Nothobranchius furzeri: one gene and its partners. The protein of the gene in region 3 interacts with the protein of the main gene of each other region in a biochemical or structural test. Links are inferred from orthologs where the notes say so. Each region holds a gene or a part of one and is shown on either strand. Other genes may lie near its edges.

Region 1 (4,113 bases), on a different chromosome or scaffold from region 3:
TAAATATGCTTTTGGAAATCTAAAGAGTTTAAACATAAAAGTTTTTTTTTTTCTTACTTTTTCTTTTTGCTGCTTTTTCAAGAAAAACCTTCACATGATCAGACGGGATAGCAAATGAGATCCCTGCAGTCACCTTCATGGTGTTGATCCCAATCACCTCTCCATCCTGATTTAAAAAAAGGAGTATTAGTGAAATCTAAAGATGGTGCACGGATGTGTTCATCTGGTGGTCGTAGCTCATTCTAATTGTATTAGTTCACTTCAGGAAATGAAACAGAAGAGTTAACTCTGTTTTAGTCATTTCACAATAATCCAAACCAGGTAGAAGTGTTACAGCTCAACTGAGCAGGAACCTCAACTCACCAGATTAATCAAAGGACCTCCAGAATTTCCAAACTGCAAAGAAAACAAGTAATAATAAAAATACTTGAGTCATGGGAAATCTACATTCAGGAATATTGGTCCTAAAAAGGGTTAAACTATGTAAAATGAAGAAAAAGTACTCGCGTCGATTGTGGCGTCGGTCTGGATATACTCCATGTTGGAGTTGGAAAGGCCGAGCTCTTTGCTGCCCCTCTGAGCTGAGCTGACGATCCCGGATGTGATCGTGTTTCTCAGCGAGAACGGACTTCCCATGGCAACCACGAACTCTCCTTGTCGAACGTCCGATGACTGACCGAGTGTGAGCGTGGGTAACGGACTCTGCACATCAGGAGGGGGGAAACGAGGACTTTCAGGAGCTATTACACAAAAATAAATGAGGTAATTCTTGAGTTCTTCAACCAGATCACTGGTGCCTGCTCGGTAAATGGTGACAACACCTTTCATAATCCTTGTCTTTCATAATATTTGGATCACAGTCTTTTATTATGATACTTTTATTATTCGATTATGTAAAATTCAGCAAATCTGTATTTTCTCAATAACTAATTAGCAGAAACAACTTAAATACTGACAGAAAATATTAAGCAAAACTCAAATAATCACAAAAATATTAAGAAATGACTCATTAAAATAGAAAATGACAGAAGGGGGTGTGCGCCACACTTCTGCTAAATTTTAAGCATCATTTTAAACAGCCTAACTGTCCAAAAATAAATAATAATCTCCATCTGGCTCCATTAATGTGAATAAATCTTCATCCAGAGTCTGCAGCAGATCTAGACTGCTTCCCCCTGTTATATTCTAAGTGTTTGTTCACCTTTGGAGTGATTCTAATGGTAGCTATGTCTGCCTCAGGGTCCACATCCTGCACAGTAGCGTTATAAGAGTCTCCATTTGGGAGCTTCACACGGACCGCTCTCTTATTGGCCACAACATGAGCGTTAGTGACGATGAGGCCGTCGCTGCTGACGATGAAACCGGAACCATTCGAAACAGGAACTTCTCTTCCTGAAAACGGGTGTCTGTGAAACAAACGCAAGATTTAGCCTGAAGTTAAAAACATGTTTATTTTCATAATTTTTTTGGGTCATATTTATAATAATTGAAAATAAAAGAGAGTAAAAATCACCAAACATTAGAAATAAACAACTTTCAATTAGATTAAATACCACATTTCAGTTTCTCATCACAATGTCACGTTTAAACAGATAATATGTATCTACTATTAGCACTGTTAGAAATCTGACTTGTTCTTCTACAAAATAAATGCTTTAAAGGTTTTTACACCCCCATCCTGGTTTAAGTAGCACAGTCACTTCAATTTAGATTATTTTACCAATAATGGCACAGTTCAAATCTAGGATTAAGGATTTTTCCCATGACTAAATGGACATGTGTTGCTAATGGACACTGCTGGTGATCATGCCAATGTATTGGCTTTAGTTTTCTCTTCTTTTTTATTAGATTTCTTTTATTTTGAAACCAATTAAGCTGCTGTCTTGGCCAAGACTCTATTGTAAAGGAGATTCTGAATCTCACTGAGATTACTCCTGCTAATCTAAATGTTAAACCAGTTAAATGAATATTCTTCATGAGCCACCAGATCTGAGTAAGGGTTTCAATTTTTAAATTAAAGCTTTTTTTCAAGCACTTTCAAGGAAAGTTTTCAAGCTTTTCCAGCATCTTAAAGCTGATGCTACTTTCACGTGCATAAACAATGTATGTACATGCTCATGATTACCGTTATTTTACTTCCTGGTCTGATAAGTTAGTTTCATGCACCTTTTAAGTACCTATTTAAACAAATTAAAGCACTTCCCAAACTTTGAAGATACCCAATTCCAATTTCAACATTTTTAAAAGTTTTCAAGCCCCCAGAAGAACTCACCTGCCCAGGATTTCTATGTAGACCACAGCTGGAGCGGACTTCTCCACCACATCCGCTATAAAGTTGTATCTGAATCTGGGGCTGTCGGGTTTAAAGGGAGAAGCGCACTGAGCCGAGGCAAGAATGAGTCCAACACAGCTCCCGGGTTTGAGAACTTTAGCGTCTCCGTGTTCGTCCTTATCCCTGTCCAGGAGGACCGCACCGCATATCGCCAAACCGACAGACTTCCAGATGGAAGGGTTCAGTCTCCGACCTCGTCCCTCGTCCCGAGCTGGAGCTCTCCTCTCGAGGCTCGTGTTCCCCCGCGACTCTCCGTTTTTACACATCACAGTAGAAAGCACCCGACTCTGTCCCGAAAGGTGAACTCCAGCCTGACTCCGAGCCTGTGTCCTCAATGCTGACAGAAAACATCTAGTGACAGCACTTGCTGCCATGTTGCATCACTCAGCCACACTGGTTCGCTAGTTTTCACACAGAAAACAACACTTTATATCCCAAAACCTGTAAAATAAAGCGTGTATCCCTTACTGGTGTAAACAACCACTTAGACTATATCGAATTTAAAAAATCTAACACAAATACTCTCTTTCAAAACTGCTTCTCTCAACTTCGCGTCTAACAACAAGCTTATTCGGGAAAGTTATTTAAACTGCGCACGCGCGGTTGTCTTCTTCGCGTCCTATTTCTTCTTCTATGGTTTTTTTTTGGCCTTTTTGTTTTACCGCCCTCTACATTCCCTCTTTGTCTCTACATGTACAGAGAAGAGTGGCTCGAAACAGGACTTATTTTTATAGATATAGGCATTTTAACCTCCACTTTTTCAGTTGTTAATTTTTAGCTACACATTTTAACAGATCGAGACTTGCGAAGTTTTGTCTTTTGAAGAAGAACGCGAAGAAGCGTGCGTAGCGGACGTAAAACTGTACTGACGTTTTGTTTTGGGTGTACGTCAGAGAATTCCAGCCAAAGACAGCAGCGCAGAGAAATTCGAAAATAGCGCGCTAGGCTAGCGAGCTAGCTACTAGTCTGGAAACCGGATACATTAGGTCCCGTTTAATGTGTTAAACTATGGCGTCATTTAATTCATTACAACACACACATTCCTACTTCGAATCTCCCGCAAAGGTGTTTGCGAGGCTCAAATCTAAAGTGCAGATGGAGGCGATGAACGCGAAGCTGGACGATTTTATAGGCAACAATCCGCTGTTAAGCGTTAGAGAGAAACATGGGGCAGCTTTTCTCTCTCCCTGGAGGAAATCTACGAACACGGTCGACAAACACAAGGAAAACAAAACGGTTGATTCTCATTACAACGAAGCGCAGGCTTTGACTCTTTCGCCCATTTCGAGTCCCCAGAAGAAATGTGGGTACTCATCGTTGCGGGAAACATCTCCAATGACTGATTTGTGTGGATACAAACGAAAGCTGAGAGACGGGACTTTAATGGAGTCAACAGCTGTGTCTCAGCCTTTCTCTTCGGTCACCAGAGATCAGATCCACCAAAGGACACCTCAGATCTGGGAGTCACGTGTTTTGTCCAGCAGGAGTCCAGTGAAGAGACAGTCAGTAGAAAGCACGGGAAGGAGTGTGTCTGATAAGAGAGCAACCCCTCTTAGTCCTGTGTCTCAGGGGAGGATGTTTACCCCCATAAAGAACAGGCTGAGGAAGAAACTAGATCAACAGGAGTGTAATTGTGTCATCAGAACCACCGAGGAGCGCGTGGAAGATGCGAGAGGAATGAGAAGGTCGTTGTCCACAGAGGATCACACTCACAACAACTCTAGCATACTGGCTGGAGGACTTCCTGCTGATCAGTCAGAGATGCTCCAACAACCCAAGAC
Region 2 (3,650 bases), on a different chromosome or scaffold from region 3:
ATATATATTTAACAGCAGGGATTCTTTAATTACAGCCCTTTCTGCATCACGTTCCTCTTGTGCTTAAAGACCAAGGTTGCTGAGAAACTATTTTTTTAATCGTTAACTTTGAGCTATGATTGGCCACATGCAGGATGAACGTGAAAATAGTCTTCTACCTCTATTTTCTGCATTTACTCGTCAATTAGTAAATAAACAAGTAAAAGATTGAATTAGAAAAGCCAGCCAGCCAATTCCACATCACATATAAAATGTGCATTCATGGACTCACCCATGTTGGCTTGTAACGGGGAAGGCTGTGGTTGGTTGGTTGGTTGGTTGGTTTAGTGTCCAGGAAAGACTAGAGCCCATCTCAACTAGTAGAAACTTACCGTTAGCATTAGCAACTCCACCACGCAGCAGAACTCCTTCAGGCTTGAGTTATTTGTGGAGATAAAACATCAAAGTTGCAGAGCAAGCAGTCAGTGGTAGAGTCACATTGCTGTTAGCCAATCAGAGGCCAGATGTCTGAATATCAGGAAATGAGACCAAATTCTGCCATCTTCTGCTCACCTCTCATCTGGCTAACGTCTAGTTCCTGAAACAGGAGCACCAGAGCTTTTTTTACCCCACAGAGATCACACTCATTCATATAGAGACCACTGCAGATGGGTTGACAAAAATGAGTAAACTCTGCCTTTAACGAGCAGAAAAACAAAGTTGGGGTTTAACTCGCACTGATCATCACAAAGGCAGTGGCAGAGGAAGTAAACTTATGTAGAATAAATGTTTATTTTCCTATAGACGTACACATCACTGCACGCAGTAAGGCAATTGATAAGTGAATCTATTATTCATGTCTGTTATCAGTAGTTACATGCTGCCAGGCAGAAAAGGACTTTCTGTTTACACTTCAGACTCCATGACATCACTCCTCATGTTTTGTTTTTTGACTTTACCTCAAATGTGCAGAGTTACAAGAGAGCAATAGGGGAGGTTAGTATCTCTGTCGTCTTGTGTGATCCTGCATGGATTTGTATTGGTGTTCCTGGACTTCTACGTGTTTATGGAGAATCACATGCATGCTGTAAAGCCTTCATTCATTTGAGGCGTTGTTTTTCTTTTGAATTAAATAATATTCTGTTTATAATTTGTGCCATTTGACTATTTTAGTTATTTTTCCCAATATAAGGATGCCCTGAATTGTAAACCATTTGATTCCCAGTTGAGTACTTTCTCTGGATGGGACCTCACTCATGTTTTTGATAATCTAAATAGTAATTATGCATTTGTTAATGTTGTGCTCATTCTTTACATCTTTAATTGTTTAGAATGTTTTGAATGCATTCTCAAAGTAAACAAAGCTGTATGCGGGTGCAGGATCATGGCCTCTATGCCAAGGAGCGTGCCGAGGAGCCACCGAGGCCTCCTGTCAAGGCCAATGATTACTCCTCCTCTTCAGAGAGCAACGAAAGTAGCGAAGAAAGTGAGAGTGGCGAGGCAGCAGAGGAGGAGGAAAGCCCAACGGATCGGTAATGCTTGCACAAATAAACTTTTACAAATGAGGTAACGGAAAACTGAGTAGGCCTAAATGTTCAGTCACAGGGATGCAGACACCGATTCGGTCAACACCATGGTGGTTCATGAAGACGAAGGCGAGGCAGAGGGGGAGCAAGCAGGAGTTTATGGGGACCAGACCATGCTGGTGCAGCGGGTGAGTCACGCCAACTTCAGATCATGTTTAAGATGCTTTTTGATTTCTGCAGAGGAATCTGCATGGTGGCAAATATTGTAGAGCAGGGAGATGAATTCATTCAACTCATCATGTTAGACATTTATTTAGGAAGTATAACATCATTTTTACTGTTTTTGCAAACTTCTCAACAAACAGATCTAATTCCAAAAATGATTTAAAATCATTTTTATAGCAACTCTTTTTTTGATTCCAGTTTAACAGAATTAATAAAGGGCATAAACGCTTTTTATTTCTAAAGCCTCATTAATCTGCCTCCATAAAGTCGTCAGGCCTTACTTGTGCAGAAATACACAGAATTTAGAACAACACTAAAACAAAAAGGTCCCTTACTTTATTTTGTGGATTTGTTTTTATTCAGTTATTTAGTTTATATAAAAGATCAAACAGGAATAAACAATATATTTAAATGTTGACACAATGCAACTGTTTAAATTATTCACTTCATTCTGTGATCTGCTGGTTTCTTATTATTAGACCCTTAAATATTTGTAAAGGTTTTTAATGAAAGTTGCCTGAAGCTCCCCTCCAGCTAAATGCTGTTAGTTTGTCAGATAAAGCATCTCTGAGATATTTGGGGAGACGACCATGACAGCATGCATTTCTGGATGGCTCCTAATGAGTTGAATAGGAACAGTGTCTCCTTGACTGAGGGGTTTTGTGTGTGTGTGTGTGTGTGTGTGTGTGTGTGTGGGGGGGGGGGGGGGGGGGAGGTTTAAATAGTGAAATTACAGTTTTGGTATCCTAATTGATACAATGACACACACTGCAGGTTCATGCTAACAGTAGTAGGTCTTCACAGCCGTCTCTGACAGCTCTGAGGCTCAGCTGCAGCACAGGAGCAGTAGCTGTCCTATATTTATGTCACCATCTGGATTGGTCAGCCATCATCCTCACAGGACTTCATGCCCTCTGGAAAATTTGTTTTATTAAAATTACGGCAATTTGGAAAAGTTAGTTTGTCGACTCGCTTTTCTTCAGTTTTCACAAAATAAAAACAAGGATGTCTGAAGAACTTACTGACATTTGATTGAGTTGACAGCTAGAAGTCACTCAGTAAAGACTTCAACTCATTCATGTTTCCAGCCTGCAGAGACGATAAAGCAGCTGACCTGTTATAGAAAAGGCACAAGCTACGTTTAAAGGGATTACTGCTTCTTTACTGTCGTCACATAATACAAGTATCTGTCTATTTGACCTGAAAGACCCCGGAGAAGAGGAGCCATAATGGATACACTAACTTGCCAGATGTGGTGCAGCCTTCCCACTCTCCCACTGAATCAGCCACTCACTCCTCTCCTGGGAAAGACTCTGTTTATGATGTAAGTTGTCCTGATGCTAAGTTTGTCAGCCCTGGTTTTAGGGTTTATTTTTATTTCTTCTATGTATGCCATCATTTCTGCTAGACGCCATCATTTCAGTATGATACTGGCATCAGTAGCACATGTTGTTATGATTCTCTGATGTGAAAAGGTGAAAGTTTCCACAGAGTTTATGTAGACTTGTTTATCTCACCCACCCTTTCTGTTTCACCAGTATCAGTCCAGAGGTTTGGTGAAGGCATCTGGCAAGTCTTCCTTCACTACTTTTGTAGATCTAGGCATGTACCAGTCTCCGGGAGGAACAGGAGATAACATGTCAATCAGCAGTGAGTCGGAACATTTTTAAATGTGCTTAGAGTTGATTATTAGAGAACTTTCGTCTTCTTGTTTATTTGTCTTTTGCAGTCAAACATAAAGAAAACAACATGATTGTTTTGATGCTATTGTGGCGTTTTGGATGAAGTTGTTGATGCACATTAAACTACATTTAAAAACAAATCAAACTATGTTTTGACATTTTGGACAAGTTTGGCTAATTGTCCTCCTATCTGTAACATCTGTGTCTAGGCTCTAGGTTTGAGCAGCTGAAGATGGAA
Region 3 (4,108 bases):
CCGAGCTCCTTGGGGAACTGGAGAGATTCGTGGAACAAAGTACTCCACATTCCCAGACCAGCGCTTGGTTGATGGGTTGTTGTCCCAGGGAGAATTAGAAGCCGCGACACCGCGGAGTGGTGGGTAGACAGGAGGTGGCCCGGGGCTGTCGGGGCGGTACACCATCCCATCTGCCATGTGAGGACCGAGGCGGGGAGCGAGGGCCTCCTTAGAGCCCTTCCAGCTAGGCCTCCTGAGCACCACCTGCTGCATGTGAGAAGATCCTACACGACAGTAAAGATCTTGTCAGATTTAAGTGAAGAACAAAGACAACTTAAACTAGGATTTCACTGGGCTGTGACTGTAGGCGGCAAAAGGAAAATACATAAAAATATAGAAAAAAAAGTTTTCTACAAATCGTCTCAGAAGAGATGCTCATGACGCCCCTCGCGGCCTGGCCATGTAAAGAAGCTGTCATAAGTGTCGTGTAGGCACTTCCGAGCGACTAAGAATCTTTTTACACAATTACTTATATTATCAGTATCACATAACAGTGGAAATTACAACCGATACTACAGATGCATCTGTGTTCCCTCTACGTATATAATACCAGCGAGAGCATGAATAAGCACCAAAACCCTCCGTTCTGTTCTGTTATGAAGCTGTACAGTGACTCATGTTTGGAAGCAGGTACTGTCACCATCCTGATCCCTGCAAACAATATGAGGGCTGAGTCCAAAGGTCATGTAGAAGAAAGAAGGAAAACTAACACGGATCCCAGAGGACTGTTACCTGGAGCTTTCAGGCCTGAAGAGCTGGTGTTAGCAGCCATGACCGGCTCCCTCATCTGGTCCTGGTAGTTGGTCGCACCGCGACGCTACGGAGGCCAAAGTAGATCCATTAAGAAATTCCTTCTTCATGCAATGACTTATAATTTCTAATCTACAATAAAAATGATTAGAAAATTAACAAAAGATGTTTATAATTTAAAAGAATAAAACAATCTAATTTTCCCAAGACTGTTGCTTTTCACCCTCTGAACACGGTTGAACCCGCGCACCTGCGCTGCCTACCATGATACTTTTCATCATGTACTCACGCAAACCAGACGCTTGTTATTTCACATTGCATACCTAGCATTTCCCAAATAACTGCCCTCTAAACACAGTGCAGCAGGTGATTATCTTCTATTACAAAGGCACGAACAGAATGAGAACCTGTCACAATTCCTCATTAAGAATGTGTTTATGAGGGCAAAAGGGATAAACTCTTAATAACTCCGCTTACCTCCTCAAACCCGGCGCATGGTTGCTCCAGACACATCGGTTTGTTAATGTCTGAAGTGCTTGATGAACCATTCACCTCGTAGGGCACCAGGGACTTGCGAATCTCCTGTAATGCCTTATGGTGCTTGGGATTGCTGGAGCGCCTTGGATCTTCAGGAGCCATCTTTCCGTGTCCGCCGTTGTCCACTTTAGAAGAATCAGAAGGTTTGGACATGTCGCGCAGACTTTTTCGGATTTCCATCAGCATTTGCTGGCTGTTGCCGCTGCAGTTGCCGACCGGTAATATTTTGGGCCTCATCTGTCTGTATCCTTCGGGTTTCTCCCCCCTCCTCATGTACGAGCATGTATGATGATGACGATGATAAAAGGGATGGAGAGGATATCACCAATCCAGGGTGGCGACAATAGCGGACGTTTTCCCGATGTCTGACCTCACATCTATGTGCTGCAGCGGAAAATATTTGATGCCAGTTGAAAGTGAGATAAACAAGCAACCAGAGTACACATAATGTTACCAAACAGGTTCAGCAAAATGAGATTGAGAGAAGTAATTAACAGAGCCCAACTTATTTCTTTACCAGAACGTTCCTACATATTTTACATTTCAGATCTACTTTCATTCTTGAGCTCAAATGTTAAGATATTTCTGCCATTTTTAAAATGTAAAGATATGAACATTTACTGTAAATTTACAGTAACAAGGTCTGTATACTATAAATAAAAATCACCACTGACTGTGCAAAACAACAACAAGGATTTCTGGGAATTTCCCCTAAATAAAACTAGTTATCTGTTTTTAATAAGCTTGTATTCCTAATGAAAAAGTCTAATTTGATTAAAGATCAGGTGTATATTTAAAGCTATTTCCACTTAGATCAACATAGAGCTCTGAAAATGTTTGGGTGAACTTGTGATAAGTTGAAAACAGTGAGGGAAACATGTGGAAAGTGATCATTTAGAAAAGTTTTACAATACAATTCGTTTTTAATCAAATTAAAACCTTCCAGAAAATAAAGTCTAGGAACACACACGTTTTCTATATTTTGTTCTCAATAATTAATGATCTGGAAATACTCAAAACATATAAGATACTTTTTCATGCCTCTCAATCCTTTTGTAAATAAATAACCTGTTTCTGTCACGCTTGGAAGTCATGTGTTGATAAAAAAATAGTTATGATTGTTTATCGTTTACTTTTGAGTGAAATTCGGCGTACGTAAATTTTAAGGTAAAAAATGTCTCGATTGGAACTGACTTCATTAAAAGACCCCATTCCGTGTGTATAGCCTCCTTAGCACTCTATGCTAACATAACGCTAATTTTACGTAAATTCTCCGGCGTTGGGTACGGATTTTTGTCACAATTAAACGTTTATAAGGATAGTCAAAAGAGTGGGCGAATACTGAGTTTAAGAGTTTTAAAAAGGATTAAAATCAAACAACACAGCAGTTTTCAAGCGGCCTGTGTGTAATAGGAATCCATTTGATGCTATTCAACAACAGGTTGCGCATTAGCCTGCTAGCTCCGATAACAACAACTCACCAAAGTCCGCCGCTGTCGCTTTTCCTATTATTAACGGACAGTAGTGGTTTGCTGACCCTCCTCGGCGTCGAGGACGCGATTTGAAGTTAAAATGCCCTTGTTGTTCCGCGCCGACTGGTTCCTAGTCTTGTTGAATTCCTGGGATATCTGAATGACAAGTACAACAGCTAAGCTAACGACGCACCATCAGACGCTGGACTTTCACAATAAAAGTCAGTGGAGAAATTACTTTTTTGCTAAGTTTAGAACAAAATAACACTAATAAAACTAATGAAGAAAATTTTAATGCTTTTTTTTATAAGTTTTTTTTTGCTAACCTGTTAATGAAGTCCAAACACATTTCACAGCACAAATCTTAGAAATAAAAAAATAAGAGCATTAATATGTATAAAAATAAATCAATTTCCCTTTGGGTGAGCACATAACATCTATTTGTAAATTTACAGAGCAACATAAGAGCTCACAAGGCTGACTTTGACATTTTTATGTTGGTAGGTTTGATTTACAATTTTACTTGATTTGTCAGTATAAAAAAACGTAACATCCTGAGACAATTTGAGAAAGTTACATTTTATTTCTTTATTGTTTTTTAAGTAATCTGTACAAAACATTATTAATCTGAACAATTGTGTACAGAATGACATACAAAAACACTAATCCATATTCTGTCACTGCAAAGAATGAAGCATTGCATCAGACACAGAGGTCTTTCATTGCGTAGGTATATTGGCTTTTTGTGTAACAAAAAAAAAGTCTTCCAATGTGTCACAAAACATCAAATTAAAATTTGCATTCATGTATTTATTAGTCACCTCCAGATCTTTTAAACTGGGACCTGTTTGTTGATAAAAATAGCCTCTCCATCAGTTCCACAAACTAAGCACTGTCCAAGCACATCCAAGCTGTTGACAGACAGCGTCTGGCTGGGCAGCATGTGGGTCGTCTCCAGGCGGCTTTTACTGGAGTCTCCGTTGAGCCAGGCACTGATGAGGGACTGGTTTCCTCCAGCAAGGGCCATCGCACTGCGAGAGGTCACGCTGCTGTTTCTGCTACCTGGAAACACAACAATAACACTTTTTACAGTGAAATTACGACAAATAGTACAACATGACAATGTTTAATAGACTGACCTGGTGTTGGACATTATCAGGAAATTCTTTGTTTATTTAACCCTAAATAATGTAAACTTTCAGTAAAACATTCAACTGGATATTTTCTTGATTATGGCTTTTGTGTTTCCATAGAATCTTTATAATTAAGAAAATAGAAGAAGTACATAGGCAGCCTTTTAAACTGAATAC

The links.
Region 1: the proteins of lats1 (region 3) and serine protease HTRA2, mitochondrial form a complex in vitro, tested with the Homo sapiens proteins (2 studies listed by BioGRID, with this or other methods). The link is inferred for Nothobranchius furzeri from reciprocal best matches to the Homo sapiens genes LATS1 and HTRA2.
Region 2: of the proteins of lats1 (region 3) and mink1, one has a biochemical effect on the other in vitro, tested with the Homo sapiens proteins (2 studies listed by BioGRID). The link is inferred for Nothobranchius furzeri from reciprocal best matches to the Homo sapiens genes LATS1 and MINK1.

Annotation. Positions count from the first base shown.
Region 1 is NC_091758.1:31,041,882-31,045,994, reverse strand, and holds the start of serine protease HTRA2, mitochondrial, read right to left. Parts: upstream 2,901-4,113; 5' UTR 2,707-2,900; coding exon 2,273-2,706; intron 1,407-2,272; coding exon 1,202-1,406; intron 741-1,201; exon of another isoform or gene 703-740; coding exon 508-702; intron 397-507; coding exon 364-396; intron 167-363; coding exon 58-166; intron 1-57. Other genes in the region: mis18bp1 (mis18-binding protein 1), read left to right, coding at 3,341-4,113.
Region 2 is NC_091750.1:48,005,334-48,008,983, reverse strand, and holds part of mink1 (misshapen-like kinase 1), read left to right. Parts: intron 1-951; coding exon 952-975; intron 976-1,359; coding exon 1,360-1,511; intron 1,512-1,578; coding exon 1,579-1,693; intron 1,694-2,937; coding exon 2,938-3,054; intron 3,055-3,268; coding exon 3,269-3,380; intron 3,381-3,621; coding exon 3,622-3,650. UniProt on the Homo sapiens protein: Serine/threonine kinase which acts as a negative regulator of Ras-related Rap2-mediated signal transduction to control neuronal structure and AMPA receptor trafficking.
Region 3 is NC_091742.1:11,410,986-11,415,093, forward strand, and holds the start of lats1 (serine/threonine-protein kinase LATS1), read right to left. Parts: upstream 2,949-4,108; 5' UTR 2,808-2,948; intron 1,813-2,807; exon of another isoform or gene 1,711-1,812; 5' UTR 1,600-1,710; coding exon 1,267-1,599; intron 857-1,266; coding exon 772-856; intron 264-771; coding exon 1-263. Other genes in the region: nucleoporin Nup43, read right to left, coding at 3,631-3,860. UniProt on the Homo sapiens protein: Negative regulator of YAP1 in the Hippo signaling pathway that plays a pivotal role in organ size control and tumor suppression by restricting proliferation and promoting apoptosis.